2 linked regions of the Oryctolagus cuniculus genome follow. The protein of the gene in region 2 purifies or fractionates together with the protein of the main gene of each other region. This does not show direct contact. Links are inferred from orthologs where the notes say so. Each region holds a gene or a part of one and is shown on either strand. Other genes may lie near its edges. The genes, in order: CD81 and CD19.

Evidence for each region.
Region 1: the proteins of CD19 (region 2) and CD81 purify together in Homo sapiens (affinity purification with western blotting, with the first as the bait; 3 studies listed by BioGRID). This does not show direct contact. The link is inferred for Oryctolagus cuniculus from reciprocal best matches to the Homo sapiens genes CD19 and CD81.

Annotation. Positions count from the first base shown.
Region 1 is NC_091432.1:1,167,387-1,182,940, forward strand, and holds the start of CD81 (CD81 antigen), read right to left. Parts: upstream 7,941-15,554; 5' UTR 7,714-7,940; coding exon 7,648-7,713; intron 6,429-7,647; exon of another isoform or gene 6,169-6,428; intron 58-6,168; coding exon 1-57. UniProt on the Homo sapiens protein: Structural component of specialized membrane microdomains known as tetraspanin-enriched microdomains (TERMs), which act as platforms for receptor clustering and signaling.
Region 2 is NC_091450.1:7,742,480-7,758,203, forward strand, and holds CD19 (B-lymphocyte antigen CD19), read left to right. Parts: upstream 1-4,053; 5' UTR 4,054-4,322; coding exon 4,323-4,410; intron 4,411-4,581; coding exon 4,582-4,845; intron 4,846-5,129; coding exon 5,130-5,300; intron 5,301-5,432; coding exon 5,433-5,711; intron 5,712-6,946; coding exon 6,947-7,057; intron 7,058-7,345; coding exon 7,346-7,394; intron 7,395-7,683; coding exon 7,684-7,772; intron 7,773-8,173; coding exon 8,174-8,287; intron 8,288-8,414; coding exon 8,415-8,519; intron 8,520-8,598; coding exon 8,599-8,667; intron 8,668-8,776; coding exon 8,777-8,833; intron 8,834-8,914; coding exon 8,915-8,971; intron 8,972-9,469; coding exon 9,470-9,556; intron 9,557-9,646; coding exon 9,647-9,738; 3' UTR 9,739-9,753; intron 9,754-9,916; 3' UTR 9,917-10,126; downstream 10,127-15,724. UniProt on the Homo sapiens protein: Functions as a coreceptor for the B-cell antigen receptor complex (BCR) on B-lymphocytes. Decreases the threshold for activation of downstream signaling pathways and for triggering B-cell responses to antigens.

The sequences.
Region 1 (15,554 bases), on a different chromosome or scaffold from region 2:
GGTCTGGGGGTCGTGGCGGAGCCACAGGGCCACGCCCAGGATCACACCTCCAGCCAGCTGGGGACAGAAGAGGCAGTGTCAGGTGCAGCTAGGGCCCCATGGGGCTTCCCGGGCCGGCATCTCTTCTGGGGACAGACCCTCCCTCACTTGGCGGTCGGTCCTGGGGTGGGGTGGGAGGGGAGGGCAGAGCCGCCCCTCCCTGGAAGAGCCGCCTTGGTGCCCCTGGGACCTCCCACCAGCACCCCTGCGACTCCAAGGTCGCCAGCACAGGTGTGTGCGTTTGAGACAAAGGACTCTGAGCCTAAGCGGGGACGTCCTCCTACTCGGGGTTGGCTGGGCGTCTGCCTGCTCGTTTGCCCCAGGCCCCCTCCCGAGGGGGGCCTCACCCACTGCTGTCTTGAGCCCCTGCGCAGCTGGGAACCCCTGAGATGCGGACCCCGAGTCTCTGTTGCAGGAGAGGGCCCGGCATGCGGTTTGTGGGGCAAATCCCGGCAGCTGCCAGGGAGGAAGGAAGGAAGTGGTGCTGTGGGCCGCGGCGAGAGGCGCTTGGTGGGCAGAAAGGCGCTCGGAGCCAGGTGGCGGCCGCGCGGTGGCCCAGGGCCCCTCCCAGGACAGGTGGCCAGCTGCAGGTCGCCCTCCCTGGGCAGGCCTGCCTCCACCACACGCTCCCCGGAAATACCCGGGACCCCGAGTCCCACGGCCTGCACCCTCGCCACTGCTTTCCCACACAGCCAGGCCCCTCCAGATCCCCTCTGCGTCCCCCCCCCCCCCCCACCGCTGCACAGGCCACGGCAAGCCTGGAAGAGACTGTCAGTCCAGGGCCCCGCCCACAGCAGGAGGTCAGGCTCTGGCACAGGGAGCCCACTGCCAGCGCCCACAGGCCTTGCCAAAGCCCTGAGGGCTTCCCGCAAGAGAAGGCAGGGACTGTGCAGGGAGGGGAGTCTCCCCCCCAGGAGGGACGGGCTCTCTGTGGCCGGCCGTCACAGGTGCCCCAGGGAGGCCCCACACCCACGCCTCGGCGGCTGCTGATGGCAGAAAGGAAACTAGAAGCCGAGACCACCACCTTGCCGGCCCAGCTCTGGCTCTGTGCCCCCGATGGGGGGTGGGCGTCGGGGGCTGCGGGAGGGGGTCTCACTGCCACAAGGACCACGAACGGCGCGTGCCCCGGAGCCCCTCAGCCCGGCAGCGGGGGTGGGACAGGAGCCTACCTCCCCCCGGGGCCCTCGATGGAGCCGGGTCCCCAGCCAGCAGCCGGGGCGCCGTCAGGGCCCCCAAGGACCCGCAGGGCTCCTGCTGGCCGACCTGCCCACGGCAAGGCCCAGGGAGCCAGGGCCCTGAGCTTCCAGAATCCTGAAGCAGACAGGTGGAGGGTGTGGGGGAGGCAGCGGGGAGCGTGGGGCCCCGGCCTGGCGCTCGGCGGGGAAGTGTCACTCAGGTCTCCTCGGCTGCGCGGTTTCCGTTTTGAACTCCTGACCCCGAGGTCACTCTGAGAGCCGTCCCAGGACATGGGGCGAGCCCCCGCCCCGTCCTCTCCCTCTGTGGCCAGAGCCTGCCTCAGCGGCTTGTGCTGTGAGGTCCTGGCAGGTTGTCCCAGGGTCCTCACCGGGAGAGCCAGGCCGTGGGCAGAGCCTGGCTCTGTGCCACCCAGCCCAGGGACCCTCACTAGTCTGCGACCTGGCACAGGCTGGGGAGCTGGTCCTGCCCAAGGTGGATGCGCCGGCTAGGGTGGGCCGGGGTGGGCCGTGAAATCCAACTGCAGGTGGGACTCGGAATTCGACAGCTGCACAGCGCGTGGCACCACCACCGGAGACGCCAGCATCCCAGATGGGCGCCGGTTCAGGTCCTGGCTGCCCCACTTCCGATCCAGCTCGCTGCTAACAGGCCTGGGAAAGCACCGTGGGATGGCCCTGCACCCACGTGGGAGACCTGGAAGAAGCTCCTGGCTCCTGGCTTCAGCCTGGCCCAGCCCTGGCCATTGTGGCCGTCTGGGGAGGAAACCAGCGGGTGGGAGATCTCGCTGTCTCTCGCTCGCTCTCTGTAACTCTTTCAAATAAATATTTTTTTAAAAATGGGTAATTAAATATCCAAAGGGCCCTTAGCAGAAAAGAGGCCCCCAGCCCCTGTCCCAACAGAAACGGGGAGCAAGTGCCACTCAACGGGCGCCCAGGCAGGGGTCGCTGGTCTCCCTGCCCCAGGTCGCAGGCAGGGCGGGGAGGGGAGGTGGCCTCCGGGCAGGAGCCCCGGGCCCTGTGCCCACCGTGGGGAGGGCAGAGGGCAGGCCAGCGAGGAGGGCTCTGGCACTCAGAGTCAGACACAGCACCAGGACGGACAGGCCTCACAGGGGCCAGGCAGATGCCACGGGGCGGACGGCTGACCTCCCGGACGCCCCACCCGGGGGGCAGCTCCGAGGCACAGGACGGAGCACTCAGCTGGAGCAGCAGGGAGCAGAGGCAGCTCTGGACGAGAGCCGGTGTTCCCTGGCTGGGGAGACCCGCGCTGGCCACTGGGCCCAGCTGCCCGGGGCCAGGAACGCAAATGTGAAATGCACCTGGCAACTCGGGGTGGAGCCTGGGGGACCCTGGGGGCCGTCCCACAGCGGACACCCACATGGACCGGTGCGGGCCAGCCTCGGGACGGAGACACCGAGGGGAGGGTGGGCGGGCCAGGCTGGACACTCACAGGGCAGTGCGATGCAGACCTGCCAGCCCCGTGACGGGCAGAGACTCACCGTCCCGGACGGGGCGGGCGGCCAGGGGCCTGGACGCGCTGGGAGGGCGCCGTGCTCTCCTGGTGGCGGCTACTGTGCCACAACTCACCAAGCCGAGCACTTTCGATGCCCGCATCCTCAACAGGAGGTTTTAAAAACCCCCACACCCAAATTCCCGGCTCCCCCCGCCTCCGGTGGCCAGCAGCCCACACCCAGGGACGCTCAAGGCCAGGCCATGGGTCAACATGTGGGATGCTGGCTCGAGAACGCCCCATGCTGGACACCACGATGAGAGGGCACTGGACAGAGACCGCGGGGGAGGGAGGCCCGGGCCCCCTCCGCCACGGCCTTCAACGCCCCCGTGCCGGGGGTCTGTGCACCACGGGCTCCGTCCACTCCTCTGCCACGGGGCAGCACCCACCGAGAGGCTCCCGCACCCCGGGGTACTGCCCGGAGGGGGCGGCGCAGGGCTCGGGCGGAGGTGGGCGGGGAGCAGCCCGCGGTCTGCAGCAACTTTGGTTTCTGTTTCTTCCTCCTCCTGCCTCCCTCCGCCCCGAGAACTAATAACTAACAGAGCCAACGACACGGGGCTGCCAAGTGCGCCAGTTCCCAGAAGCAGCCGAAAGGCAGTATGGGGCGCGGGCGCTGCCCAGGCGGGCTTCCCGCCCTCTGCCAGACCCTGGCCGGCGGCGGGGCTGTGCCCTCTGGCTCCCAGGTCACCCCAAGTGCTGCCGACACAGCCTGCTGGGCAGCACCAGCCCCCCTGGGTAGCTGGAGCCCTGCCCCGTGCACTGGTCTTGGGGAGAGGCCACGGGCTGGGGGGCCACATGTGCTGGGACACAGAAATGCAGGCCGGCTGGGTGACGGGGCGGGGCCGGGGGGCCAGCGAGACCCGGGGTGGGGGCCGTGAGGCTCCCCGGAGGGAGGCCAGCCTGTGCTTGCAGCCTGGGTCCTGGGCATGGAAGCGGGGACAGGGTCAGGCAGGGTCCTGCGGGGCGGGGAGGGGGCACGGAGGGAAGGGGCGCTCGGTCCTCACCTTGGCCAGGAAGCGGAGGCGCCGCTTGGGGCCCTGGGCCTCAGGAAGCCGCCTGTCCCAGCATCTAAAAATAGGTCCAGGGCGAGGCCGTGGACCCCAGACCCCGAGGGCAGGCGGCCCGTTCCCCGCAGGACAGCTGCTGCTGGCCCAGGCCAGCGTCCAGCTCCCCCTGCAGGGAAGGGGGGGTCGCGGGTAGCCAGGACCCTGACAGTTGTGTTTCGGGCAGGATGGGCAGGGTCCCACGGGTGAGAATGGGAGGTTGGGCCCTCGGAGGGCGGTGGGAGGGGTCCCAGGGCAGGTGGGGTGTCACCAGCCAGGAGAGCCCCCAGAGTTGTTCCCACCTGCCCCAGCAGAGCCTCCCCACCCCAGCTGGCCCTGGAGACCCCAGGCAGAGGACGGGGGCTGCCAGAGTCCCGGGGCGCCTGCAGGCCGTGGCAGTAGGGCGGGTGAGGAAGGGGCTCTGGTCCCAGCCCTGCCCCCTCGTGGGCAGCTGGAGGCTGAGGGGCCGGCCGCCTGGCACGAGGCGGGCAGCCGTGAGCCGCCAACATCTCCCGGGCACAGAGGGAGGCCTGTTGCGTGCTGCTGAGGTCACGCCAGGCGTGCGGTGGGGGTGCAGCCCGTGCTGCTCGAACCACTGCCCCTCGCAAGTCCAGGGCCCGGGACCCAGCACTGCAGCCAGGCACCCCCACCCCGCCACGTGCTGGGCACCCCACAGCTCAGCTACAGCGCCCAGACACAGGGGCTCCCGGGCGCCAACTCTGAGTGCCCCCAGCCCCACAGCCGTCCCAGCCACCCCCATGGCCACAACACTGGCAGCCAGTGGAGGCCGCCCGAGGCCCGGGCCGGACGTCCCACTGCCCACTGGATGCCCCAGGGGGAGAGTTCTGACTGGGCCGGGCAGTACCGAGGATGTGCACGGTGCTGGGGGTGCCCGGGAAACCACACAGATTTTTGGAAGGCACCCTGGGTCACACCACATCCCACTGGACAGGTGTGGGCCTCGGAGGGTGCGTTCCGGGCGAGCCCAGTTCTGGGGGCAGAAGAGGTGGGTGTCCGGGGCTGAAGATCACCCGGTCCTCACCGCTCACTGGCCGGGGCACAGGGGTCAGGGCCGGAGCAAGGGCCACCTGCCTGCCCCCACCCAGGGTCCTCCCCGAATCAGCCGCTTGGGCGAGGGCGCCCCTCCCACGGTGCCTGGACTCTATGCCTTATTGATTTCACCACCAAAGCTCTCCCCTGGGATGGCGTTTCGGAGCAGAAACGGGGCTGGGGTCTGCCCAGCGACCCGCACACGGTGGCAAAGCCAGGAGAAGGCCCAGCAGGCTCAGCAAAGCATGAGGGCAGGGCTCTGGGCCACCTGCCGTGGTACCCAGGGCCCTGCCGCCCTCCCCGGCTGAGGACCCAACGCAGGCGCAACCATGCACTCTCTCCTCTGCAGGCCGGGCCGAATGGCTGTCTCCCCGGCGTGGGGTCGGTGTGGGGGCACTGGGGGAGTCCAGTCGCCCCCGTGCCGAGTCCCCCCGACACAGCCTGCTGGGGTCGCCGTCCGAGGCAGGGAGCAGATGCGCTGGCGGGGTGACGGACGGTCACGTGCCATCTGGCAGAAGTAAATCGAGCGCCTGTTCCCAGGGCTTCATCTGCCACTGGAAGGCAGCCACCGGCTGTACCTCTCAGGACACCTGGCCACCGTCACACCTGCCGTGCAGGCCAGCTCTACGCACCCCTGCCCCATCCCAGGAGCTCCGGGACCCAGCCCAAGGGCATCCGCACGGTGCTCTCTGCTCGGGCCGCCGGGGAGCCCACGACCTCGCTGGCCAGGACGCCTCACTGCACATGGCCAGCGATGGGAGGAAGACGAGCACCTGTGGGACACCTTCCTCCCCGGGGCTGCCAGGCTCCCACGGCTGCCTCCCCCCTCGAGGCGGCTCCTGAAATGGGACTTTTAAAAAGTGCCCCACGCAGGGGCCGGCACCTGGCACAAGGCTGACAATGCCGCCCGGGGCGCCCGCAGCCCATGTGGGAGCCCTGGGTTGAGAGCCGGCTCCAGCTGCCTGCCGAGCTGCACCCTGGGAGGGCAGCAGGTGCGGGGCCCTGGACTGGGCTTCCCCAGCTTCAGCCTGGCGTGACCCCTGCAGGCGTCTGAGGAGCGAATCAGAGGACGGGCGTCTCTCTCTGCCTCTTTGACTTCCCAATAAACATCTTACAAAGCGCCCATCCAGACGTGCAGTGCCCACCTGTCCCGCCACACCCCCGCAAGCCCCCAGGGCCCTCCATCCACAACAGGCCCCGTGGGGCGGGCACCCCCGCGCCCAGGCATTTCCTCCTGGGCCAGGCCCGGCCCGGCTCTCCTTGGCCGAGCTTCACGGCGGCTGCCATGCCCAGCCTCCTTTTCCGGAGCCGTCCCTGCGCCAAGCCCCTCACTCACACGAGCAGCCTGCCAGCCACCAGGAAGTCCACGAAGACCCCGCTCAGAGGGGGCTCTGCAGTGCAGGGAGCCGGGTGGGGGCCCCGGGGACAGGCCGGTGGGGGCCCCCGGGACAGGCCGGGCGGGAGGGGCCTCGGAACCAGCGCCCCGGGGGGTGTGCTCCAGCCTCCACCAACCGGGAAGCGGCCCAGCTCCCTGGGGGGCGCGCCCCCGGAGATCTCCCAGCTGCTGGCACTGCTGCACAGCCCAAGGCACAAACATCTCCAGGAGGAGGCCCCGCCCCCATCCCGTCACCCCCCTCCCCGGGCCAGCAGAGGGACGCCCCCTGTGCCCGTCACCTCCTACGCGTCTGGGCCCTGGCAGGCAAACACTGACCCACACAGATGCCACCTCCTCTTTGGCCAAGGCCCCAGGGCCAGGCTGGGCCGGCCAGATGGCCTCACCGCCACCCCACGCGGGAGCGCAGTGTCCCCGGAGCCGGCAGCCCTGTCTCTGTTCTCCCTGCCCGAGGTCCTCGCTGGCCCGGCAGCTGTCCAGATGCGAAGCAGATGTCCCGGGGCCCGCGCTAAAAGTTGACCCTCCTGCCTCAACTTGGGGAGTGCGGAGCCTGCCAGGACGGCGCCCAGTGCCCTGCAGGAAGGGCCAGACCCGGGGGGCAGGGGCAGGGGCAGGGGCAGGGGCCGGCCGTCTGGCCCCCCCCCACCGCGCTCGGCCTCTCCACCCCCCACCCCCAATTCCAGGGCCGACAGGAAATGGAAACAAAAGGCGAAAACATCACGGGCCGCCTCCCCGGCAGCCAAGAAAGTTCCCCCAGGACCAGCCCGCGCCGACCCCTCCCTGCAGAGCGGGGAGCCCCAGCCCGCACCCGTGCCGCCCTCCGCCCCAACGCGGGCCCTCCCCGCCCCGAGCGTCCACAGCCCCCCGGGGCCAGGCGGGACCGGACGCGCAGCGCCAGCGAAGAGGGGCGCTGGGCCCCCAGGAACCCCGGTGCGCTGCCCCCAGGGACCAGAGGGCGACTTGCCCTCAGGGCGCGGCGCGGAAGAAGGGCCCCAGGCGCCGGCCCAGAGCGTGCGCCCCCTCCCCTCGCGGCCCATTCCGGGGCGGTGGCCCCGATGAGCTCATGGGGGCGGGGCAAGCCCCTCCGCCCGCGCCACGCCGGGTGGTCCCGGGCACTGCGGCTGGGGACGCGGCTCCGGGCCACGCGCGCCGACCTGTCCCGGGCACAGAGCGGACAGAGCCCCGCGCCCCCTACCCAGACGCTCCGCCGGGCCGCGGGGCTGGGCCCCGACACGCAGAGGTCCCCGCCGCCGGGCCCGCCGCCAGGGGCTTCGGCGGCCCTGGACGCCCCCCACCCGCGCCCGGAGCCCACAGGTGGCTCCGCAACTCGACGGCCGCCCGCGCCCCCTCCGCGGGGCCTAGCGCGCGGCCTGCGCGCCTGCCCTCGGCGGGCCGCGCCCCGCCCCCCGCCCCGCTGCTCACCCAGAAGACGAAATTGAAGACGAACAGCAGGTACTTGATGCACTTGGTGCAGCCTTCCACCCCCATGGCGGCGCGGGCGGCGGGCGGCCTGCGGGCGCGGGCCGGGCCTGGGCGGCGGGCGGGCCGGGGCGCGGGGCCGGGCCGGGCGCGGGGCCTGGAGGGCGGCGGGGGCCGGCGAGCCCCGGGCTCGGAGCGCGGCGAGCGGGACGCGCGGGGCGCGGGGCGCGGGAGGCCTGGCCGGTAGCACGGAGGGGTCGCCGCCGCCGCCGCCGCCGCTGTGCGCGCTCGCTCTCTGGCCGGGCGCGCGCCCCCTCCGCGCCGCTTATAGGACAGCGCGGCCCCGCCCCCGGCCCGGCCCCGCCCCCGGCGCCCGGAGCCCCGGCCGCGGGACAGAGCCGGGTGGGAGAGGGGGCGGGGTGAGGGTGGGAGGAGGGCGCTGCGGCTTCCTGGGTCCGGTCACCCGAGACCGTCGCGTCCCCAGCCGCTGGCCGGGCGAGTGTCCCCCGAGCGTGGGCATGCAGCACGTGTCTGGGAGCAAGACCTCCCCTTCCCCCTGCTCAGGCGCCTGTCGTAATCCCCGAGGGCTCCCGGTGGAGGTGATGCAGTGGCGGATGGCTCTGCACGCACCGGAGCTCTGCTCCTCTTGCTGTCCAGGGCAGACCAGGGGTGGGCCTGAAGGTCTGGACCCGAATTCTCGGCAGCCAGTTCCTGTGCTAGGGAAAGCCGTTGCTGCCGCCCCCAGCAGCCTCGGCAAAGGTCACCAGCTGGGCCCCAGACCAGCGCGACCAGCGCGGGAGCCACCGTGGCAGCTCGCACCCACCCGCCCTGCCACTCCCCGGCCCTGCCCTCGCAGCTGGGGTCTGGTGAGGCAGTGGGGACTGATGGGACAGCGAGGGGTGCTTTCTCCCAGGCCCCAGGCCCCAGCCAGCGCTGGCCCCTCATCGGCCCCTCCTCATCGGCCCCAAGCAGGTCATGCAGGCCCACGTGCACCCGAGGCTGCGTCCTGGGCAGGCGCTCGCCCGGACCCAGGTGGGGCCGGTCTGAGTCCTGCCCCTGCCCCGTGCAGATGGTGGCTGGGGGCTGTCTGCGTGGGTGTGTCCTCCCCGGGCTGACTCCTCCCATGGTTTTCCTGCTGGCCGGTGGGTGCTCGTGGTTGTGTCCCACGCCAACGTGTGAGCTGCAGGCACAAGGTCCCGCTGGACGTCTGGTCTCCGAGAGGCCTTTGTGGGTGGGAGGGGCCAGAAGAGCCGGCGTCTGGTGAGCTCCCCGCTGTCCCCGGTGCCAGGAACGCTTCCTGCCAGGCGGAGCCCTCGGTCCGAGGCCGGTCACCCGGCCGCCCTGTCCTGTCCTGTCCTTGGCTTGGTCACGCGTCTCACATTTCCTGGCCCCTTTGTGTGGCAGGAGCTGGGCCAGGTGCTGGCTGGGGGGGCAGCCAGGACCCCTCCCCTGGAGGGCCTGAGACAGGTGCTGCCCCACCCAGGAGCCCAGGCCGGGATGCTTGATGGGGGGAGGGGCTGACAGGGGAGAGGAGCCTTGCAGGTAGATGGGTGAGGCTGCAGTGGCCGACGGAGCCGAGCAGGGATGAGAGCCTGACGCCCAGATGGGCTGGTGCTCCGTTTTGGTCACGGTGGGGTGGGGTGGCCTGGGGGTGTAGCTGGGCCCGGTGGCTGCCGACAGTGGAACCCCGGCTCCGTAGGCTGGTGGGGGACACCTCAGGGGCCTGGTGGGTGTCCCATGCCCTTGACCTCATGTGTGCTGGGGGCCCAGGGCAGTGAGGACAGGGCACGTGTCACTGTGATTCTGGGACAGGTGGGCGCCACCGGAAGTTGGCCGGGCCTGAGAGAACTTCCTTCCGGTTCCAGGACCCCGCGGACAAACCCCCAGGTGGGCTGTGTGAGAAGAGGGGAGGGGCTCGCCCAGGGGCCGTGGCTGGGCTGGGAACCCCTGTTCCCGCAGCCCCCGGGGGTACCCTGCCCAGGGAAGGTGGGGCTGCGTGTGCTGAGGGCGGGGCGCCAGGCAGGGGGCGGGGCATCAGGCAGGGGCGGGGCACTAGGCAGTGAGCAGGGCATCAGACAGGGGCTGGGAACCAGGCACGGAGGCGGAGCATCGGCAGGGGGCGGGGCACCAGGTAGGGGGCAGGACTGGTCACCGCAGCCTGGCTGCTTTGCTCGGCCACCTCCCTGCTCTGGGGAGGCTGCCTCAGTTTCCTCAGGCTGCCGCTGGCTTCTGTGAGCTGTCTGTGGCTGGGAGACCCCCGTGCCCCCAGGACCACGCACTCCCCCCTGCCTGCCCTGACTTCCTGGGCCATACATGACGGCGGCCGGAGGAGGACCAGTGGGGCCTGGAACACGGGGCCGGCTGTGTGCAGGGCAGAGGCTCCACGGGGAGCTGCTAACGGCTCAGGCCATACGCGGTGTTCACAGCCCAAAGGACCACATCCGGGTGGCTCATCTCGACACACGCAGTGGGGGCGGCCCCCAGAGCCCCCAGCCCTCTCCCGCGGAGAAAACGCTCACTGGCGGCCGAGAAGAGGGGGCTCGTCCAGCTGGGATGCGGGGCTCCGTGGAGCCTCAGGACGCCCTCCGGAGCAGGCCCGGTGCGCGCCCACGCTTCTCCCCTGCCCGGCTCGCGCTGGGAGGCACCACAGAGATGCACAAGGCACCCAGTGGGGGGCAGGAAGTGGAATGAGAGCGCGCCCCTCCCCAGGAGGTGTTAGGGGCTAGCCCTTTAGGGGGGCGTCAGAGGGCCGGGGCCTGGGGAAAAGAAGTCCCGGACTTCCGGCCCACCGTGTGGGTCAGCGCGCCTCGGCCTTGGCCGCACAGGCAGGCGTCCCCAGGGCCACGGCCACACACCGGAGGACAGCGGCAGTGGCACAGTGCCCGTGCCAGCCCCACGCCTGGACGCCAGCTCCAAGAAAACGCGGGAGACCGCCTCACCCATGCCACCCTGTGCGGTCGCCTCTTGAGAGGGGAACATTAGGCAGCCAGGTGGACCTCGGCCCGTGTGTGTATAAGGAGTGGGAGCTCTGGTATGGCCGAGCCAGGGAGGAGGGGCAGCAGGTGCACGTGGAGCCTGGCCCTGGAGGGTGAGTTCCAGCCGCCCCAGCCCTGCACCACGGGGGCTCCGGGGAGAATTCAGCCCCCCTCCCAGTGATTCCCAGGAGGGGGCTTGGGGGGAGAGGAATGCTGGGCCGTAGCCCATTTCCATAAAAACTGCAGTGTGGACGTGGAAGGGGGTCCAGCTCTCCCCCAAGAGGCCGCCTGCTCTCACAGCCCTTGGCGGGCTCAGCACGGCCGCTGCCTCAGCCTTGGGACTGTGGGAAGTGGGTTCCTGATGTTTGCACACCTGTCCTGCTCCTGTTCTGTTAGGTGGCCCACATGGGCCAAGCCAAACATGACGCCCCGTGTGCTGACCACCTGGTACTGTGTGTGGAGCATCCTGAGAAATCCACCAAAAACTATTAACATTAATGCTAATAAGTATTATTACTTATTATTGTGTTAAGACCATTAAGATCAAAACTCAGTTTTACTCCTATACCCCCGCAAGGAGGATTGCAAACAAAATAAAGATGGCAATCCCATTTAGAATAGCAGCAATAAATAAATAAACACATAAATAAAAACACCGGAAACACCCTAGGACACGGTGAGCAGAGACGCACCAGGCGCGTTCACTAAAAAGGACAAAGCGTCGGTGAAAGACGTTGGATGCCGCGAGCTCCGTGTGTGGGGTCGGAAGACTTAGTCTGGTTAAGATGACAGTGTTCCCGTGTGGATCTACAGCTTTAAACACGGTCAGAAGTCCAGCCGGGGGCTGCCGTGGTGGCATAACCCGTGGAGCCGCGAGAGCTGCCGCCTGCAGTGCCAGCATCGCACATGGGCGCCGGTTTGAGCCTCGGCTGCCCCCCGTCCAGTCCAGCTCCCTCCTAATGCACCTGGGAAAGCAGCAGAAGGTGGCCCCAGTCCTTGGGCCCCTGCACCCACGTGGGAGACCCGGAAGAAGCTCCTGGCTCCTGGCTCCTGGCTCAATTTGGCGCAGCTCCGGCCATTGCAGCCATCTGGGGAGTGAACCAGCAGATGGACGACCTCTCTCTCTCTCTCTCTGTAACTCTGTCTTTCAAATAAATAAATAAATATTAAAAAAAAAAAAAAGAAAACCCACGAGCAGACAGGAGGGCTTTTTTTTTTTTTTGACAGGCAGAGTGGACAGTGAGAGAGAGACAGAGAGAGAAAGGTCTTCCTTTTGCCGTTGGTTCACCCTCCAATGGCCGCCGCTGCAGCCGGCGCACCGCGCTGATCCGATGGCAGGAGCCAGGATCCAGGTGCTTTTCCTGGTCTCCCATGGGGTGCAGGGCCCAAGCACCTGGGCCATCCTCCACTGCACTCCCTGGCCATAGCAGAGAGCTGGCCTGGAAGAGGGGCAACCGGGACAGAATCCGGCGCCCCGACCGGGACTAGAACCCGGTGTGCCGGCGCCGCAAGTTGGAGGATTAGCCTATTGAGCCACGGCGCCGGCCAAGGAGGGCTTGTTCTTGCAGTCTGCACTCCGTTGGTCCGTCCGTCTGTCCTCACCCCAGGACGCCCCCTTCTGGTCACTGCAGCCTCACAGGGGCTTGAGTCAGGAAGTTTGGGTTTTCCAACTTTGTGTGTGCTGGGGGAGGGGGTATCAGACCTGGGCCATCTTCCCCTGCTTTCCCAGGCCGGAAATGGGGCGTCCAGGACTGGAGCCGGCGCCCAGAGGGGATGCTGGCACCACAGCGCCCGCCCCCGCCCCATTTACTAATGGGAGTGAATCGTGCGCTGTGGAGGGACTGATGTGCAGAACACAGACAGAACTCTGAGAGTCTTCATGACCCAGCGACGTCGAATCCCGTCCAGGACAGGGCAGCCCGGCTGCGCGAGGGCGAAGGGCCGGCTCGGGCCCTGCTCCAGAGCGCAGGTGGCCGCTAAGCCCAGGAGCAGGTGCTCGGCGTCACTTGTCCTGGGGAAACGCCGGTCAGCAGCACGGGCCAGGCCACCGCTTGTCCCCTGGATGCAGGCTCTCGCGGGCACTCACGGGGTGCAGACGCAGCCCTCGCTCCAGTGGGGCGGCCCTCAGGGTTCTCGCGGTCCACAGGACCAGCCGAAGGGTTTCTTGCTTTGAGGCATTCGGACAAGGACTTCGTCCCTGGATACCTGCAGGCTTGGACGTCCGCAAGGCTGCAATCCGGCTGCTCTGCTGTATGCAGGACAAAGCCCTCACGACACGGGCGTTCGGCGGGGGCGAGGCCAGCACTGGGGAGGAGCGGGCGTGCTGGCAGTGCCGGGCCGCCCGGTGTGCCAAGCTGAGCAGTTCAAACCCGGGGCCGCCCGCCACACTTCGGAGCTGCTGGGCTGACCCGGGGTGGCCCAGCGGCACCAGAGCTGTTCTCTCTGCGGCTTCCACGGGCTGTGGCACAGAAGTCGAACGAACCCGTGTTTTCAGGGAAGGGCCAGATTTTGGGAGAAAAGATGCATTTTGGAGACAGGTGATGACTGGCCACTTCGGCAAACGCTTTACCATGGGCAGCTGTCAGCGCCGCGTGGAGAAGCTTCGCGTCGGAACCGCTCGGTCTCTGAGAGGCTGTGAACGTGACCAGGGTCAGGCTTCCAGATGACCCCAAGTGCGTAACTGGAGGTACACACATGCGTGCAGACGCGCACGGATCCCATAGAGAGAGGGAGGGAGGGAGAGAGAATCCAGAGTCCCCACGGGCCTGCGTCCTGCACAGGATGCAGCCAGGAAGTGGAAGCCACTCACACATCCGTCATCGGCCAGTGGGCGGGCGAGATCCGGCTGGCCGTTACATGACACCTGGGGGGACCTCGACAGGCAGTGTGGTGCTGACGGAAGCCAGTCACTGGGGAACCCCACTCACGTGGGGAGACAGGAAGTGGACCCGCAGGGGCCGTGGTGGAGGGTGGGAGTGGCCGCCCGCAGCCCCGTGGTGTGGCTGGCCCAGCCCCGGGGCTGCTCTGGGAAACAGTCGGATGGGTTTGCTTTATGGTCCACGGATTGCATCTCAACACGGTGCACAAAGTTCCGGAGACAGCAGGGCAGCGCGGCGGGCCTCCTGGAGGCCGAGAGGCCGTGGGCCCGGGAAGCGAGCGTGCTGTGGGCAGCGTCCTGGGCTGTCCGTGGTGGGGCCCGAGCTGGGTGAGGACGGGGAAGCTGCAGTGGCCTCCCTGGCCTGGCCCGGCCGGTGGCTGGGGGGGGGGGTGCCACTGGCTTCCTGGGCTTCCTGAAGTGGGGGGGTCAGGACCCCTTGCCTATCATTGTGAAAAATGAATGAAAAGATCAGTTATTCTGGGGCAGAAGGTTTGTTTTTGAAACCCTTGCCCGCAGGGGTCTTGGAGAAGCCGATGAAGGTGCAGGGTACGGGACAGGCGCGCCCGGCCTGCAGAAGCCCGCTCAGCTCTGATTCCAGGTCTCCCCGGACGTCCGAGCGCGCCCTCGCAGTGTGGTGTTGCTCCACTGCGGGTGTATAAAGGGGGCTGAGAGCCACAGTGATGGGCTGCCCACAGCACAGTCGGGGTTGGGGCAGTCCCTTGGGGCCCGGCGGTCAAGGCCGAGCTCACTGGCCCCTCAGGGTGTCGGAGAGGGGCAATGTCCAGGCCAGCCTGGGACAGAGACAGAGAGGGCACAGCCCGGGAGGCCTCCGCCTGGGGTGTGAGGCCTGCTGCATCGCAGGGCGTGGGGACAAGAAGGGGAGGGGCCTCAGGGCAGGCGCGGGAGGTTTGGGGTTCCTGCACTCAGGGCCGGGGTTCCACCAGGTCAGGGTCCGGATCTGTTCACTGCTCGGGTACTCTGGGGGGGTGGGGCCTTCCCTCAGTCTTGCTCTGGCGGGAGGCAGGGACAGGAAGCCTGCAGGAGCCCCCGCCGTGGGGCAGGGGGGACGCTGCAGGCCTGGAAGGGAGCCTGGCTGACCCAGAGCCATGGGCAGAGCTGCCCCTGCGTGCCAACCCGGCGTCCCTGGGCGATCCCGTCCAAGCGCACGGGGTCATTCCCAGGAGCCCTGACACTCCTCCGTGTCCCAGGACCCCTAGCGGGCAGCAGAAGCCGGAAATCTGGACTGAGCCAGCAGAAGGCCCTGCCTGTCCCCCGGGGAGGTGGTGCTGATGTCTGTCCGTCCGGTGGCCTGGGGGCGGGGCTTGCGCCTGGAGCGGTCTCTGGTCTTGTGAAACCCTTGAGTTCCCGGTGGTGGCTGGGGGAGGCGTCTTCTGGGGACCCCATTCCTAGAGAGAGAGAGCGGGTGGGGCTGGTGGGGGGGTGGAGATCTGCGGGTGACCAGAGCTGGCCGGGCGGGGTTTGGGGTGCCCCTCACCCTCACTGCTGCCACGAGGTTTGGAGGGGCTGGGGGGGACAGCGTCTCAGCACGGGGCGGGCCTGGCTCCGCAGGGCTGGGGCTCCCGGGAGGGCGTTCGCCACCGCCTGGGGCCCTCACTCCAGTCCAGGCTGTCCCCCTGGCTCGGACCCTCACACGCCAGGCCCCTGCCAGAGGCTCCTTTTGGTGGGGGCGGTCATTCGTTTGTTGAACAAGCTGGGAGCAGCTGCTGACCACACGCCTTGTTTATTTCCACAGGATCCACCGCGGGGCCGCCCAGAGGAGGCCTCGGTGCCTGCAGGGGGACCCCAAGGTCCCACCCAAGGGGCTGCCCTGGGGAGGGGAGGCGGGGGAGGTGGCGTGGAGCGGGTGTTGGGGTGGGGAGCCCCAGGAGACACGGCACTGGTGCTGCTGGAGGGGGGCTCGCTGGTGCTGCTTCCCGCAGGAGAGCTGGTGGCTCCCGGGAGACTCCAGGGAGGAAGGAAGGAAGGACAGACGAAGCGGCTTGCCTGGGGCCGGGGGCAGCTCCTCTGTGGAAGTGGGGGCAGCCCTGCAGGGGCGG
Region 2 (15,724 bases):
CAAACGGAGCTTTGACAGCCCTTCCCCCAAACCTGTCCTGGGAGTTCCTGCGTCTTGGCCTCCTGCTGCAAGCCCTGGTAACTCGACCTCCAGTGCACCGAATATTCCAGAAGGTGTTCCTTTCCCTCCATTTCCAGTACTGACCCCTAGTCTCTGGCCCCATCATCTCCGTCCTGCTTAGTAACCATCCTCCACCACACACACACATTACAAAGGCCCCTTTAGTTAGTTCTGCAGAACGCAGTTGGAATCACCTCTGTGAAACATGTGAAGTGGGGGCCGACGCTGTGGCGTAGCGGGTGAAGACGCCGCCTACAGTGCCTGCATCCCATATGGACGCCGGTTCGAGTCCTGGCTGCTCCACTTCCGATCCAGCTCTCTGCTGTGGCCTGGGAAAGCAGTAGAAGATGGCCCAAGCCCTTGGGCCCCTGCACCCATGTGGGAGACCCTGAAGAAGCTCTTGGCTCCTGGCTTCAGATTGGCACAGCTCCGGCTATTGAGGTCATCTGGGGAGTGAACCAGCGAATGGAAGACCTCTCTCTCTCTCTCTGCCTCTCTGTAACTCTGCCTTTCAAATAAATAATTCTTTAAAAAAAAAAAATTCTTGTGCCTGCTTAAAAACCTAGTTGGCCACTTTGAAACTGGTTAGACTTTTCACCGTGTCACAGGCAGCAAATTCAGCCATGAACAGATGTTCAACATCATTAGCCATTAGGGAAGTAGAAATCAAAGGCAGCAGGAGACAGGGTCATGGACATCTTAACAGTGGCTAAACAGAGTAACAACGCCAAATGCCGCTGAGTGTGCAAAGGAACCGGGTTTTTCTGTACTGCTGCCAGCAAAGTGACTGGTGCTGGACCCAGGCCAATGCCAGGAGCCTAGAACCCAACCTGGCTCATCTATGCAACTCTCATTGGCTGCCACCCAGGCTGCACAGAAGCAGGGAGCTGGAACTGGGGGCGGAGCTGGGACTTGAACCCAAACACTGACGGACAATGCTGGCAGCCCAGGTGGTGTCTTTTTTTTTTTTTTTTTTTTTTTTTTTTTTTTTTTTTAAGATCTTATTGAGAGGTAGAGTTGCCAACAGAGAGAGGGATGCAGAGAAATCTTCCATCTGCTGTTTAACTCTCCCCAAATGGCCACAACAGCCGGAGCTGAGCTGATCTGAAGCCAGGAGCCAGGAGCTTCTTCCAGGTCTCCCATGCAGGAGCAGGGTCCCAAGCACCTGGGCCATCTTCTACTGCTTTCCCAGGCCATAGCAGAGAGCTGGATCAGAAGAGGAGCAGCCAGGACTTGAACCGGCAGCCATATGGGATGCCGGCGCTGCAGGCAGTAGCTGTACCCATCACGTCACAGCGCCGGCCACTTAGGTGGTGCCTTGACCGCTGTGCCAAACACCTGCCCTTTTCCTTCCTTTGTTCAACTTCCTGAGCGTCTGTAGATGCCCGTGTCGATCCGGGGACGGAGAAGATCCCCGTTCTCCAAGAAAGGGCATCTAGTGCAGGAGGCGGTCAGAACACTAATAAGTAAGCCAAAGTTGAGATTTGGGGAAAGTGCCGAGAGGAAATCCAACAAGAACCTGAGAACAAAAAAGTTCGTGGAGAGGGGTCAGAGCAGGCCTCTCTACGGAAGTAACATTTGCGATTAGGAGAAACCAGAGGGATGGAGGGAGTGGATGAATCATGCCAAGGGCAGCAAGTGCAAAGGCCCTGGGGCTGGGACCGTGGGTGGCAAGTTGGAGCGTGGGTGGAGGAGGACAGTGGCGGCGGGGGGGTGAGTGGCCGACGTAGGTGGGCCTTGGTTTGGAGTTTTCCTTTCAGGTGGGTGGGAAGCCACGGAAGTGTTTTCAGTGGGGGACTGACACACTCTAGCAAGAGCTGAGCTGGAGAGAGATTTTGTTGGGGTCTGGTTGCCGTCATCATTTCTCCAGTGCCTCGCTCTTTCCCCTCCGGTCAGCCCGAGGGAAGTGGGGCCCTGCCACCTGTAGGGTCCCCTGGGGTTTGCTTAGCACAAACAGGAAGCCGCAGGGCAGTGACACAGGCAGGCCTGGGAATCCGCAACTGAGAAGACAGGTCTCCTGGGTCCCGGGATCCTTTCCCTGAGAGAGATGGGAGGGGTGGGACAGGAAGTATGGGGCAGTCTGGCGTCGGGGGCCTCCTGGGCCCTGCTGCTCGCAGCGCCAACAGCTCTGTGTGTGACTTCAGGGAACGCCCTGCCCTGCTTGGGGCCTCCATTTCCCTATTAAAAAAAAAAAAAAAGGCTTATTTATTTATTTATTTGAAAGGCAGCGTTACAGGGAGAGAGAGGGGGAGACAGAGAGCCATCTTCCATCTGCTGGTTCACGCCCAGGTAGCCACAGTGGACAGCGCTGGACCAGGCTGAAGCCAGGAGCCAGGAGCTTCCTCCAGGTCCCCTACACAGGTGCAGGAGCCCGAACACTTGGGTCATCTTCCGCTGCTTTCCCAGGTGCCATAGCAGAGAGCTGGATCGGAAGTGGAGCAGCCGGGACTCGAACTGGCGCCCCTCTGGGATGCGGGTGCCGCAGGTGCTGGCCTTACCTGCTGCACACAGCACCAGCCCATTTCCCCGTTTCTAAAAAGGCTCCTTCCAGAACTGCAGCAGGGGCTTTCTGGGGGCAGAGCTGCTGAGTCAGTGACTTCTCAGGAAGAGCCACTGTGGCCCCAGCCTCGCAGCCGCCCAGCCCCCTGCTCCCCCTGCTAGCTTTCTCTGTGTTACTGGATTTATCATCGGGACAATCTGCCGAGAAAGTCGCACTTCCAATTTACAAAGAAGGAGACTTACCCATGGTTTTGAAGCTGGGCAGTCTGGCTTGAGCTCCTCCGTATGAACTGATTAACTGAGGGCCTACTGTGTGCTGGCTGCTGGGCTAAAGATGTCACACAAGGGCCGGCGCCACGGGTCACTAGGCTAATCCTCTACCTAGTGGTGCCAGCACACCGGGTTCTAGTCCCGGTCGGGGTGCCGGATTCTGTCCCGGTTGCCCCTCTTCCAGGCCAGCCCTCTGCTGTGGCCAGGGAGTGCAGTGGAGGATGGCCCAAGTGCTTGGGCCCTGCACCCCATGGGAGACCAGGAGAAGCACCTGGCTCCTGCCTTCGGATCAGCGCGGTGTGCTGGCCACAGTGTGCCAGCTGTGGTGGCCATTGGAGGGTGAACCAATGGCAAAAGGAAGACCTTTCTCTGTCTCTCTCTCTCACTATCCACTCTGCCTGTCCAAAAAAAAAAAAAAAAAAACAACACAAAAACGATGTCCAACAAGTATTGTCCTCTTTCATCTTTATAAACAATATTTTAAAAATCTTAAAAATCACTTTCATTTTATTTGAAAAGTAGAGAGACAGACAGAGAGATCTTCCATCTGCTGGTTCACGACCCAAATGCCCACAACAGCTGGGGCTGGGACAGATGGAATTCAGGAGCCCAGAACTCAAATCTGGATCTCCCATGTGGCTGGCAGGGACCCAATTTCTTGAGCCACCCCTGCTGTCTCCCAGAATGCACATTAGCAGGAAGCTGGAACAAGAAACAGAGCTGGGATTCAAACCCAAGCACTCCAATATGAATATGGGCATCCCAAGGGATTACCCAGCCACTGTCCCAAATGGCTGCCTCCAAATAACATTACTTATAGTCCTGTCATTCTCCCCAGTGGACAGAAGAAGAAACTCAGGCTTTGCGTGCTGAAGGAAGTTAGCTACAAGTAGAGGTGGAGGATTTGAACTCAGGTCTGCCGCAGGTGGTCATGGGGTAGGGGTGGGGGGTGGAAAGAGGTCCAAGAAATGTTTGTTGAATGAAAGAATGAGGTGTAGGTGTGAAGGGAGCCTGGGGTTGGGAGGGGGGAACAGGAGGAAGCCCCTGAAGCGGAATCCACTCATTCAACCCAGAGTTCGCCGTCACCACCTTTGTGCCAATCACCGTCCTGGGACCGTGTGCACAGGGAGGGGAACGAGACTCTGCCTCTGCTCCCAAGGGGCTCACACACTAGTGGAGAAAACAGAAGTGAGCCCCTCCACACACGCAGAGACACACACACACACACAGACACACACACAGAGAGACACACACAATCAGTTCTTGTGGAGCTAAGTGTGGGGCGAAAACAAGACAGCACACGGGGAGGAAGCAAGCTGTGTGGGTCTGGAGGGGGCCTGGAGAAAGCAGCCCGAGGCGTGACCACCCCTTCCTCTCTGAGGGGACTGCCTGCTCGCCCCCACAGGCGTCCATGGTTCAGTGCCCAGCAGGCCCCTGCCTGCCCCAGCATCCCCTGCGCGGGGAAGCTGGGCGGCCCGGGGAGTCTGGCCACCATGCCACCTCCTCTCCTGCTCGCCTTCCTCCTCTTCCTGACCCTGGGGAGAGTCAGGCCCCAGAAACTACTGCAGGTGGAGATGGAAGGTAGGTCCAAAGAGGCAGAGAGGGAGGGAGTCGGGGTTGGAAGCCTGGGTTTGGGCTGGGTGCCCTCCACAGCGTGGCTCACCCTCTCTGAGCCTTTCTAGCTTGTGACCCAGCAGGTGCTGGGGCAGTGACGGGAAGGGGCTGGGACTCTCCCTCCCTCTCTGCCCACAGAGGGAAGTGATGCTGTGTTGCCGTGCCTCCAGGACCCCCCGGATGGTCCCCCTGAGCGGCTGATCTGGTCTCGGGACTCCCAAGGGCCTTTCCTGGAGCTGAGCCCCGGGTCCCCAGGCCTGGGCATCCATGTGGGGCGTCTTGGCATCTTGCTGCTCATCTTCAACGTCTCTAATGAGATGGGGGGCTTCTACCTGTGCCAGCCAGCGCCCCCCTCCCAGCAGGCCTGGCAGCCTGGTTGGACGGTCAGCGTGGAGGGCAGCGGTGAGGGCTGGGCCGGCCTGGGGTCAGGGAGGGGGGAAGTTGCTGGATGGGAAGTGGAGAGCCCAGTGTAGCCAGCGGCCAGAGCGGAGCTGGAGGGAGGGCTGAGGAGTCGCCTCCTGTGGTTCTGAGACCACCCCTGAGGGCCTCCTGTCTCTCTCCCACCCTCCCCTCTCTCTGCGAGTCACTGTTTCTCTGTGTCTCTATTCATCTCTGCCGTCCCCGAGTCCCTCTGCCTCTCCTGCTCTCCTGGGAGCCTCTGTATCTGGTTCTGGGTCTCTCCCCAGGGGAGCTCTTCCGGTGGAATGCTTCGGACCTAGGTGGCCCAGGCTGTGGCCTGGGCAATGAGTCTTCCAGCTCCCAGCCGTACGTGTGGGACAGAGACCACCCCAAGGAGTGGGACATGGGGCCTGCCTGCGCTTCCCCCAGGGGTGATCTGAACCAGAGCTCCAGCCTGGGTGAGGGGAAATGCTGGGGGGGTGCCAGGAAATGGGGGTCCTGCCTGGGGGGCAGTGACTGGAAACAGAAGGGGTTGGGGAGACAACACCCCAAGGATTAGGTATCACTTTCCTTGTCTCTCCCTGCCGCAGACCTCACCGTGGCCCCTGGCTCCACTGTCTGGCTGTCCTGTGGGGTGCCCCCTGCCTCTGTGGCCACTGGCCCCGTTTCCTGGGCCCACATACACCCTACGAAGCCCAACATCTTATTGCCAAGCCTAAACCTGACCGCGGAATCCCCAGCAAGAGAGATGTGGGTCCTGGGGCCTGTTCTGATGCTGCCCCAGGTCACAGCTGTGGATGCTGGGATGTATGTCTGTCGCCGTGGCAACCTGACCACGGAAATTCACGTGACAATCACTGTCCGGCCAGGTAGGGCTTCTCCCCACTGTGGGGGCAGGTGCTGGGGAGAGGGGGGTTACGGGGAGGAAGTGGAAGCCAGGCCATCTTGGACTCCCAGCCTGAGGGCTAGTCCCAGCCTCTTCTCGTCTACACCCTCTTTCCATGGGACCTCCTTTGCTCCCGAGGAGTCACCATGCCTTGATCACTCTAGTTCAGGCTCCAGACCCCTATCTCCTGGACTTGCCATTCCATGTAGACTGCACATACACAAAAATCAAAGTTAGTGTCAGGCAGGCGCCGCGGCTCACTAGGCTAATCCTCCGCCTTGTGGCGCTGGCACACCGGGTTCTAGTCCCGGTTGGGGCGCCGGATTCTGTCCCGGTTGCCCCTCTTCCAGGCCAGCTCTCTGCTGTGGCCAGGGAGTGCAGTGGAGGATGGCCCAAGTGCTTGGGCCCTGCACCCCATGGGAGACCAGGAGAAGCACCCGGCTCCTGCCATCGGATCAGCGCGGTGCGCCGGCTGCAGCGCGCCGGCCATGGCGGCCATTGGAGGGTGAACCAACAGCAAAGGAAGACCTTTCTCTCTCTCTCTCTCTCTCTCTCTCACTATCCACTCTGCCTGTCAAAAAAAAAAAAAAAAAAAAAAAAAAAAGTTAGTGTCATCCCCAGGTGTAGACTTCCATGTGCCTCCCATTGAGGGAAGGACATCATACCACTTGCCTTCCTGCCCAAACCAGACACCTGGGCCTTCTTCCTTCTCCCCACCCCAGCCAGTGAACTGGCCACATTGTACTGGCCACCTAGTCTTCATTTTAATGCAATCCTACCATGCTCTTCTCCCAATCACACGCCTCAAAGTCAGCCTCAACGGTCACTCCAAACTTGACCTCAGCAATGTGCTGGGTTCCGACATTAGCCTGCCAACTCCACTCTGTACTTCGCGTTGACCATGACCGTGTGTAACTGCAGCAAGGAAGCTGACGGTGCTGCTCCCCTTAATCCTGATGCGGTCTCTGACTCTTACCCTGGCTTGCTCACTAGAGGCTGCCCCGAGCCCTGGGCCAGGCTCTGCGGAACAGTCCCCACCCTCGGGGGACACGACTCCTTAGATGGAGGGATGAGCGCCCTCCTCATAGCTTGGGACTTTGAACCTGGGTCTTGTTCCTCCCCCCCAACCCCACCCCTGATTTATGGTCCTTGGAGGTCTTGAGGTTGGGAAGTGAGATGCCAGGCTGGGGTCCTCCTCTCATAGCCCCTCCCCCCCAGCAATATGGCACTGGCTGCAGAGGAAAAGCGGCTGGATTGTTCCAGTTGTGGCTTTGCTTTATCTGATCTTCTGCCTGGGCTGCCTGGTGAGCTTTCTTCACCTTCGGAGAGGTGAGTCCTGGCCCCCAGCCAGTCTGCACCAACCCTTCTTCCTCAAGATAAGCCACTTCACGTCTGGCCACCGTGTTTTTCTCCTCCTGTCCCTCATCCACAAACCCCAGAATCCCCCACCCCACCCCCCACCCCAGGCCCTCTAACTCACCTCAAACTTCTCAAGCCCCTGGAAACTCGAACTCTCATCTCCTTTTATGCATCCAACCCGAACTCCCCAGCAGCCCCCAAAGCCTCACCCTGCCAAGCAGCCCGCCCTCTGACCACGCCCCTTAACTCCCCCACCAGCCCTGATCCTGAGAAGGAAAAGAAAGAGAATGACGGACCCCACCAGGAGGTAAGGCGGCAAGTGCACCCCGTTCTTCCCGCCATGCTTTGCAGTCACTGCCTCCAGCGTGTCTCTGTCCCATCTCTACCCGTTGGGATACGGCCCAGTCTCCAGCTCAGCGCCAAAGCTACCTCCTTTTCGTAGACCTCCTTGGAGTGGTCCCAGAGCCCTCCGCGAGCTGTCCCGGCCTCGGGGAGCAAATCACAGGGCGCCATGTTCAACCTCGGAGGGCCTGGTCTGTATCTTGTGTCATCTGGTCCCTTCCAGTCCTGATCTCACTGCGCATCTCTCCTGCCAGATTCTTCAAAGTGACGCCCCCCGCAGGAAACGGGGCTCAGAGCCAGTATGGGAACGTGCTCTCTCTTCCCACGCCCACCTCTGGCACAGGTAAGAGGTCCTGCCAGGCTTCTGGCCCGGGTCCGCCCCTCCGGCCTTTAGCTCCGCCCCCAGAGGTAGAGCTCCACCCAGTTGTTCTCATTCCTCCAATCCCCTGAGAGCCACCGCTTCTCAGGCTCAGAACTCCGCCCCAGGGGCGTGGAGCCCCGCCCAGGTTTGACCACGTGCCCCTGGAAACACGCCCACCCCCAACACTCACAGTCCCGCCCCGAAGACGCCCAGGCAGCGGGTCCCTCACCCCCCAGCTTGAGGCCCCGCCCCTAGATTGAGATCCCGCTCCCGGGTTGAGGGCCAGGTGCACAGACCCGGAGTTCCGCGGTGGAGCCCCCAGCATCCCGCCCGCTGTGCGCTCCCAGCGCTCTGACCCCGCCTCGCGCCGCCCCTCTCGCCAGGACGCGCCCAGCGTTGGGCGGCAAGCCTGGGGGGCGCCGCCGCACCCTATGGACATCCGCTCAGCGACGTCCAGGAGGCTGGAGCCGCGGGGTCCCGGAGCCTGCCAAGAGCCAGTGAGTGAGGAAGGGGGTGTCAGTCCCCACTTGGAGCGGGTGTTGGAGTGGTCCGTGGCACGGATAACGCACTGAGGCTTGGAGGAGGGAGCATGCGCGGTCCCCCACCCCTATCCCACACCCCCAGGCCCAGAAGAAGAGGAAGGGGAGGCCTACGAGGAGCCGGACAGTGAGGCGGACTCCGAGTTCTACGAGAACGACTCTAACCCGGCGCAGGACCAGCTCTCCCAAGGTAAGGCTGCCCACTCCCACCCCCTACGCCCCCGCGGCGGGCTGTGAACCCCCGCCGGACGCCCCTCCTTCTCTCCTAGACGGCAGCGGCTATGAGAACCCCGAGGAGGAGCCGTCGGGTCCTGAGGACGATGACTCCTTCTCCAACGGTAACGCGGGGTCCTCGTGGGGTCTCGGAGCCGTGGGAGGATGCCTACGCTTGGAGCGCCTGGCGGCGGGGGCAGGAGTGGTCCCTGGAGTCCCTCTCTTGTCCCGCAGCCGAGTCCTATGAGAATGAGGATGAGGAGCTGGCCCCGCCGGTCACCAGGACAGCAGGTGCGTGGGAGGCAGCCTCATGCCCCGGGACGGGCCGGCCTGCAAGCCAGCAGCACGGTGACGCCCCTCTTCCTCCTCCAGACTTCCTGAGCCCCCACGGGTCTGCCTGGGACCCCAGCCGGGAAGCAGTCTCCCTTGGTGAGAGCTCCTTGGAGCCAGCCCGCCTTGCCCAGCCTGGGCGGACCTGGCCTCGGCTCTGACCCCGGCCCAACCTTGACCTGACCCTGACCTTCCGTTCGATTCCCTAACTGTAACCTCAACCCCCAGTAGTTGCACCATCCCTAACCTTGAACATCAGCACAGCCCAAACCCATTCCACACTGGGCTTTGACCTTCAACCCAGCTTTAATGCAGACTTCAATTTTGACCCCAGCCCTGCACAGATGTCCTCATGGCTCTGATTCCCTCCAGTTTGGTTCTTGACCGTTTCTTTGACCTAACCCCTGGTTAACCCTGACCCTTCAGCTACCCAGGGCCCAGACTTGAAGCTGACCCACCCGATCACCCCTCCTCGTAGACCATGGGTCAAGCCTGCCACCTTCCCCTGCCCCTCGGCACCTGCTCCTTAGGGTACCTCCCTTCCCCAGTCCCCAGCCCGGCTGCCAGCCTCCAATCCTCCACGCTCCGCCCAAGCAGGCTCCCAGTCCTATGAGGATATGAGAGGGATCCTGTACGCGGCTCCCCAGCTCCGCTCCTCACGGCCAGGGCCCTCTTATGAGGAAGGTGGGTGCTTCTGCGGTTCCCCCACCACCAGGGTCCTCTGGTCTCAGTGCCCCTCCCAGCCGACCTGCACCCCTCCCTGCTCCTATCCAGATGCAGACTCTTACGAGAACATGGACAATCCCGACGGGCCAGAACCAGCGTGGGGAGCAGGGGGCCATGGGGGGACCTGGAGCACTAGGTGACCCCCAGGTGACCAGGTACCCCAGGGACAGGAGGAGGAGGGAGGCGACAGGCAGGGAAGGCAGTGGAGGGCTGGCTAGGAGGGAGGGAGGGGGCAGGGTTCCCAGGGCCTTGGAGTGGCGGGGGCAGAAGCTGGGCCCCTGGACCCTTCCTCACCTCATTACCATTTCTCCTACATAGCTGGGGCTCCTGAGACCCCTGAGAGCCACACCTGACTCTGAAATCTAGGGACTGCAAGCAGATGGTGTCAACCTGTGGAACAGCATTGCTCAGGACGTGTGCGTGTGTGCTTGCACGTGTGCATGTGTGTGTGTGTTTGTGTGTGTGTGTGTGCAAGTAAAACTCCCTTCCCTTTTTGCTTTCCCCAAATAAACTCGGCGAGCTCTTCCAGTCCTATGGAGTCGTTCCCTTGTGTGGGAGGGAAAGAAAAGGTGAACAGGGTCGCACCGCTGTCCCCCGACTCTGCACAGCAGGCCGTCGCTCCTCTTTCCTTAACTTGTCTGCCCCATGCCCACCACCCGCTCACCCAACCGTTGTTGGTTCAGCGGTAGACTGCCCGGAGCCCAACAGTGAAGAGGCAACCGTCCAGGAAGTAGCAGTCGAGGGACGAGACGTCCTGCACCACCACTGGGTATTTATGTATTGTTCTACTAGGGTCTGCGCAGTTTTTTAGATGTATTATTTATTTTCCTTTTATCTGCAAGGCAGAGAGAGGTGGACAGTCAGAGATCTTCCATCCTCAATAGCTGGGACTGGGCGTGGTCACAGCCAGAAGTCAGAAACCAGGAACTGAATCCTGGTCTCCACTGTAGGTGGCAGGGACCCAAGGACGTGAGCCCCCAGGGTGCGCGTCAGCAGGAAGCTGGAATCAGAAGCAGAGCTGGACTCAGACCCAGGCACTCAGATATGGATGCCAGCATCCCAAGCCCTGGCTTAGCTACGGGGCCAAATGCTGGTCCCCAGGGAAGTGTTCTTTTTCTTCCTTGTGCTTCTGCCTGTGGAGATCCCACAGTTCCCTGGGGCACCCCTGGGAACAGCTGGCTTTGGCTGTGCCACAGTTTTACAGGCTACCCAGACTGCTGAAAGATTCATAAGTTTCTCAGAGCAGGTTTGTTTATTTTTTAAAGATGTATTTGTTTATTTGAGAGGTAGAGTTACAGATAGAGGGAGGGAGAGACAGAGAAAGAGGACTTCCATCCGCTGGTTCACTCTCCAGATGGCCGCAACGGCCAGAGCTGGGCTGATCTGAAGCCAGGAGCCAGGAGCTTCTTCCGGGTCTCCCATGCAGGTGCAGGGGCCCAAGGACTCGGACCATCTTCCACTGCTTTCCCAGGCCACAGCAGAGCTGGATCGGAAGTGGAGCAGCCAAGACTGGCGCCTGTGTGGGATGCTGGTGCTGCAGAGGGAGGCTCAACCTGCTATGCCGCAGCGCCAGCCCCTCAGAACAGGTTTTCACACCAGAGGTGTAGTGTGAATCCAGGCTCATACTTGGGGTTCCAACTGCCCACAATGGCCTTGTCCATCCCTAGCCTGTTGGGAGTGGGCTTTGCTTCCATATTGCACGCCAGCACTTGGGGAAGAATTGGTTTCTTCTCCATCTCTGTGCTTGGAAGACATCGCCCTTTCTCAGCCCCCAGCTTTGTCCCAGAGCTCAGCTCCCTGTTGTTCCTGGGGCCTTGGAATTGGCCTCTGTTCCCTGTGGGTGTTAAAACTCCAGTCTTAGACATTCCAGCATGCCTATGGCTGCTGGGCTCCCCACCCCCCACCGCCCCGCAACCATTGTAACTTTGTTTTCCTTCTGTATTTCTGGTACCAAGAAGATTCTTAAAAAAAAAAAAAAAAAAAAAAAAAAGATTTATTTGTCAGAGTTACAGAGAGAGAGAGAGAGAGAGAGAGAGAGAGAGAGAGATCTTCAATCTGCTGGTTCATTTCCCAGCTGGCCTGCAATGGCCAGGACTGGGCCAGGTTGAATCCAGGAGCCAGGACTTTTACCCAGGTCTCCCACATGGGTGGCAGGGGCTTAAGCATTTGGTCCATCTTCGGCTGCTTTCCCAGGCCATCGGCAGGGAGCTGGGTCGGAAGTGGAACAGCCAGCATTCCAGTCGGTGCCCATATGGGATGTCGGCACTGTGGGTGCAGCTTTACCTGCTGTGGCACAATGCCCAGCCCTGGTACCAAGGAGATTCTGTCCTGCTTTTGAGTTCAATTATCTTTTTCTTTTTTAATTAATTAATTTATTGTTTTTTAAAATTTTAATTAGTTTTTAACAGATTCAATATGGTTCATAGGTACAATTCTAAGAACCTAATGATGGGCTGCTGTTGAGGCCTCATTCCACCACAGGCTGGCATTGTGGAGTAGTGGGTAAAGTTGCCACCTGCCCTGCCAGCATCCCCTGTGGGCACTGGTTCAAGTCCCAGCTGCTCCATTTCCAACCCAGCTCCCTGCTGATGGCCTGGGAAAGCAGCAGGAGATGACCCAAATACCTGGGCCCTGCCACCCACATGGGAGACCCAGATGAAGCCTCTGGCTTCTAGCTTTAGCCTGTCTCAGCCATAGCTGTTGCAGCCATCAGGGGAGTGAACCAGTGGGTAGAAGATTCTCTCTCTCTCTCTCTCTCTCTCTCTCTCCTTCTCTCTCTGTAACTTTGACTTTCAAGTAAATATACAAAGCAAAAAATATGATATAGTCTTCCTCCCTCCCTCCTTCCCTTTCTTTTTTTCTTTAATCTTTTAATTCATTCTTTCCGTGAGTTTTTTTTTTTTAAAGGTTTATTTGAAAGGCAGAGTCAGAGAGAGAGACAGAGAGAATCTTCCAGCAGCTGGTTCTCTCCCCTGAAATGGCCACAACAGTCAGATCTGGGGCAGACAAAGGCAGAGGCCGGGAGCTCCCTCCTGTCTCCCACGTGGGTTGCAGGGGCCCAAGTTCTTGAAGCATCTTCCACTGCCTTCCCAGGCACGTTAGCAGGGAGCTGGCTGGGAAGCAGCACAGCCAGGACTCCAAGGAGCACCCTTATATGGGATGCTGGTGTCATAAGCCACAGCTTAACCTGTTGCCCCACAGCATCGGCCTCTCAGCTGCCCATTAAAACAAAACAAAACAAAAAACAAACAGAAGAAGAAAAATTAGAAACAATCTGGTTTGGCTCACCCCAGCCCCTGGACCCCCCGCCCCCATTGCCATAATCCCTGCCATTCTTTGTCATCTTTCACTCAGTCTCATTCATGTCAGCTTCCTGCCTGTCTGAGTTTGCGCTGTGACTCCTGGTGAAAATACCCTGCCTTCGCGAGATTGGATCCAGGCCTGAATCTCTGTGTGTCTCTGGTCCCCGGCCAGAGTGGGGCAAAGATCTCGGGCAACGAGTGGGCAGCAAAGGAGGAGGAGTGAGACTCTGCAGGAAGGGCTGTGACAGGTGCTTCCTGCAGGCAGGGTGCAGAGGAGGGCGGCACCCCAGCGGCTTGGACCCTCCCACCCCACCCCACCCCCCACTGGCAAGTTGGTGGGGAGGGGAGTGGAGATTGGAGCCCAGGTGTGCTAACTCCAGCCCAGCTCTGAAATCCGAGGATCAGGGTTTGAATCCCAGCTCCAGCCATTTCCGGGGTGTGATAGTTTCCTGGTGGGTAAAATAGGGATAATAAGGATAGGTGCTGGGGTGCTGGGGTTGGCCTTGTGGCATGGCAGATAAAGCCTCTGCCTGCAATGCCAGCATCCCATATGGGTGCCAGTTCGAGTCCCGGCTGCTCCACTTCCAATCCAGCTTCCTGCTAAATATACCCGGAAGGGCAGCAGAGGATGGCTTAAGTCCCCGGGTACCCCCTGCACAGGCATGGGAGACTTGGATGAAGCTCCTGGCTCCTGGCTTTGGCCTGGCCTAGCCCTAGTTGTTGTGGCCATTTGGTGGAACGAACCAGTGGATGAAAGATCTCTCTCTGTCTCACCTTCTCTTTCTCTCTGTAACTCTGCCCATCAAATAAATAAATAGATCTTAAAAAAAAAAAAAAAAGGATAGCTTCCTTAGTCTAAAAGACACATAAAGCACTTGATGGTGGCGTAGGGAGCACTCAAATACCTGTTGATTATTTGGCCTGTATTAGGGGTCTACTGTGCACCAGGAGTCAGGAGACACCAACCCATTGTGCAGAGACCTGCTCGGGCAAGAAGCCACATTCCAACTGGCGCTGTGCCCTAGTGGGTTAAAAGCCTCTGCCTGCAGCACCGGCATTCCATATGGGTGCTGGTTCTAGTCCCGGCTGCTCCACTTCCGATCCAGCTCTCTGCTATGGCCTGGGAAAACAGTAGAAGATGGCCCAAGTCCTTGGGCCCCTGCACTCGCGTGAGAGACCCAGAAGAAGCTCCTGGCTCCTGGCCTCGGATCAGCACAGCTCCGACTGTTGCGGCCAACTGGGGAGCGAACCAGTGGATGGAAGACCTCTCTCTCTCACTACTTCTTTCTCTGTGTAACTCTGACTTTCAAATAAATAAATAAATATTAAAAAAAAAAAAAGAATGGGGACCGGTGTTGTGGTGCAGTGGGTTAAGCAACTCCTGCAGCTCTGGCATCCTATGTAAAAGGTACTGGTTCAAGTTCAAGTTCTGGCTTCTCCTGGGAAGGCAATGGATGATGACCTAAATGCTTGGATCCCTGCCACCCACATGGGAGACCCAGATGGAATTCTGGGCTCCTGATTTTGGCCTGGCTCAGCCCCAGCTGTTGCTGCCATTTGGAGAATGAACCAGTAGATGGACGATCTCTCTCTCTGTCTCTCTCCCCCCCCCCCCCCGCTTGCCCTCTTTGTCTCTGCCTTTAAAAAATGAGCCTGAGTTGATACTTGGCTCCAGCTCCTGACTCTAGCTTCCAGCCAAGGTGCACCCTGGGAGGCGGTGCTGCTGGCTTTTTGTGGCCGGACTCCTGACACCCACATGGGAGACCTGGTTTGAGTTTCTAGCTCTCAGCTTCAACCTGGCCCAGCCCTAGCTGTTGGTGGTGGTATTTGGGGGAACAAAGCAGCAGATGGGAGCCCTCTCTGTTTCTGCCTCTCAAATGAAAAACAAAAGCAAGCAAGCAAACAAACAAAAAACACAGGGGCTGGTGCTGTGGCTTAGCCAGGAGAGCTGCCACCTGTGGCACCAGCATCCCATATGGGCGCCAGTTCACGTCCCAGCTGCTCCTCTTCCGATCCAGCTCTCTGCTGTGGCCTGGGAAAGCAGTAGAAGATGGCCCAGGTCCTTGGGCCCCTGCACCCGCGTGGGAGACCCGGAAGCTCCAGCGGCCCCAGCAGTCATTCTCTATGAGGACGTCACAGACAGCCTGGGCTTGCACCTGCTCTGATGCAGATTTCCTTTATGGCTGTGAACGTCTTCTACAAATGACAGCTTCTCAGACTCGCTGAGAGTCTGCAGACTCGCTGCAGAGCCCTCTCGAATTTGCTAAAGAAGCATTGCGGTGCCCTGGTTTGGTCTCCCATAAGGGTCCTTCCTGCAATGTGGATGGCCGGCTATGAAGAAAGGCTGAAGGGCTCTGGGAGCTGGGAAGTCCTTGGAGTCCCCTCTGTCACCGCCCCCGGGGTCCCTCTGTTCCCTGGGAAACAGCGCCACCTGCTGGAAGTTGTGTGCCTGGCGTGTTGACCTGGGCTGAGCCAGCTCAGAGCATCAAAGGCTTGAGCAGAGGCACTATGTGTGTGTGTGTGTGGGGGGTGTCAGGAGGCTGCGGAGGTGCAGGTGTATGGGTGGCATGTGGGTGGGGTCAAGGTGCTGTTCCAGATGGAGGTGTGCAGTACGAGCAGTCTGAACACCATGTGTGTATGCAAGGCGTGTGGCGTTGAGTGTGTACCGTGTGGGTCTTAGGGGTGAAGGATGCTGTGGGGTGTACAAGGGCACTTCAGAAAGTTCATGGAGGGTGGGCCCGGCATCGCAGCACAGTGAGTAAAGCCACTGCTTACAATGCCAGCATCCCTTATTGGAACGGTAGCTTGAGTCCCAGCGGCTCCG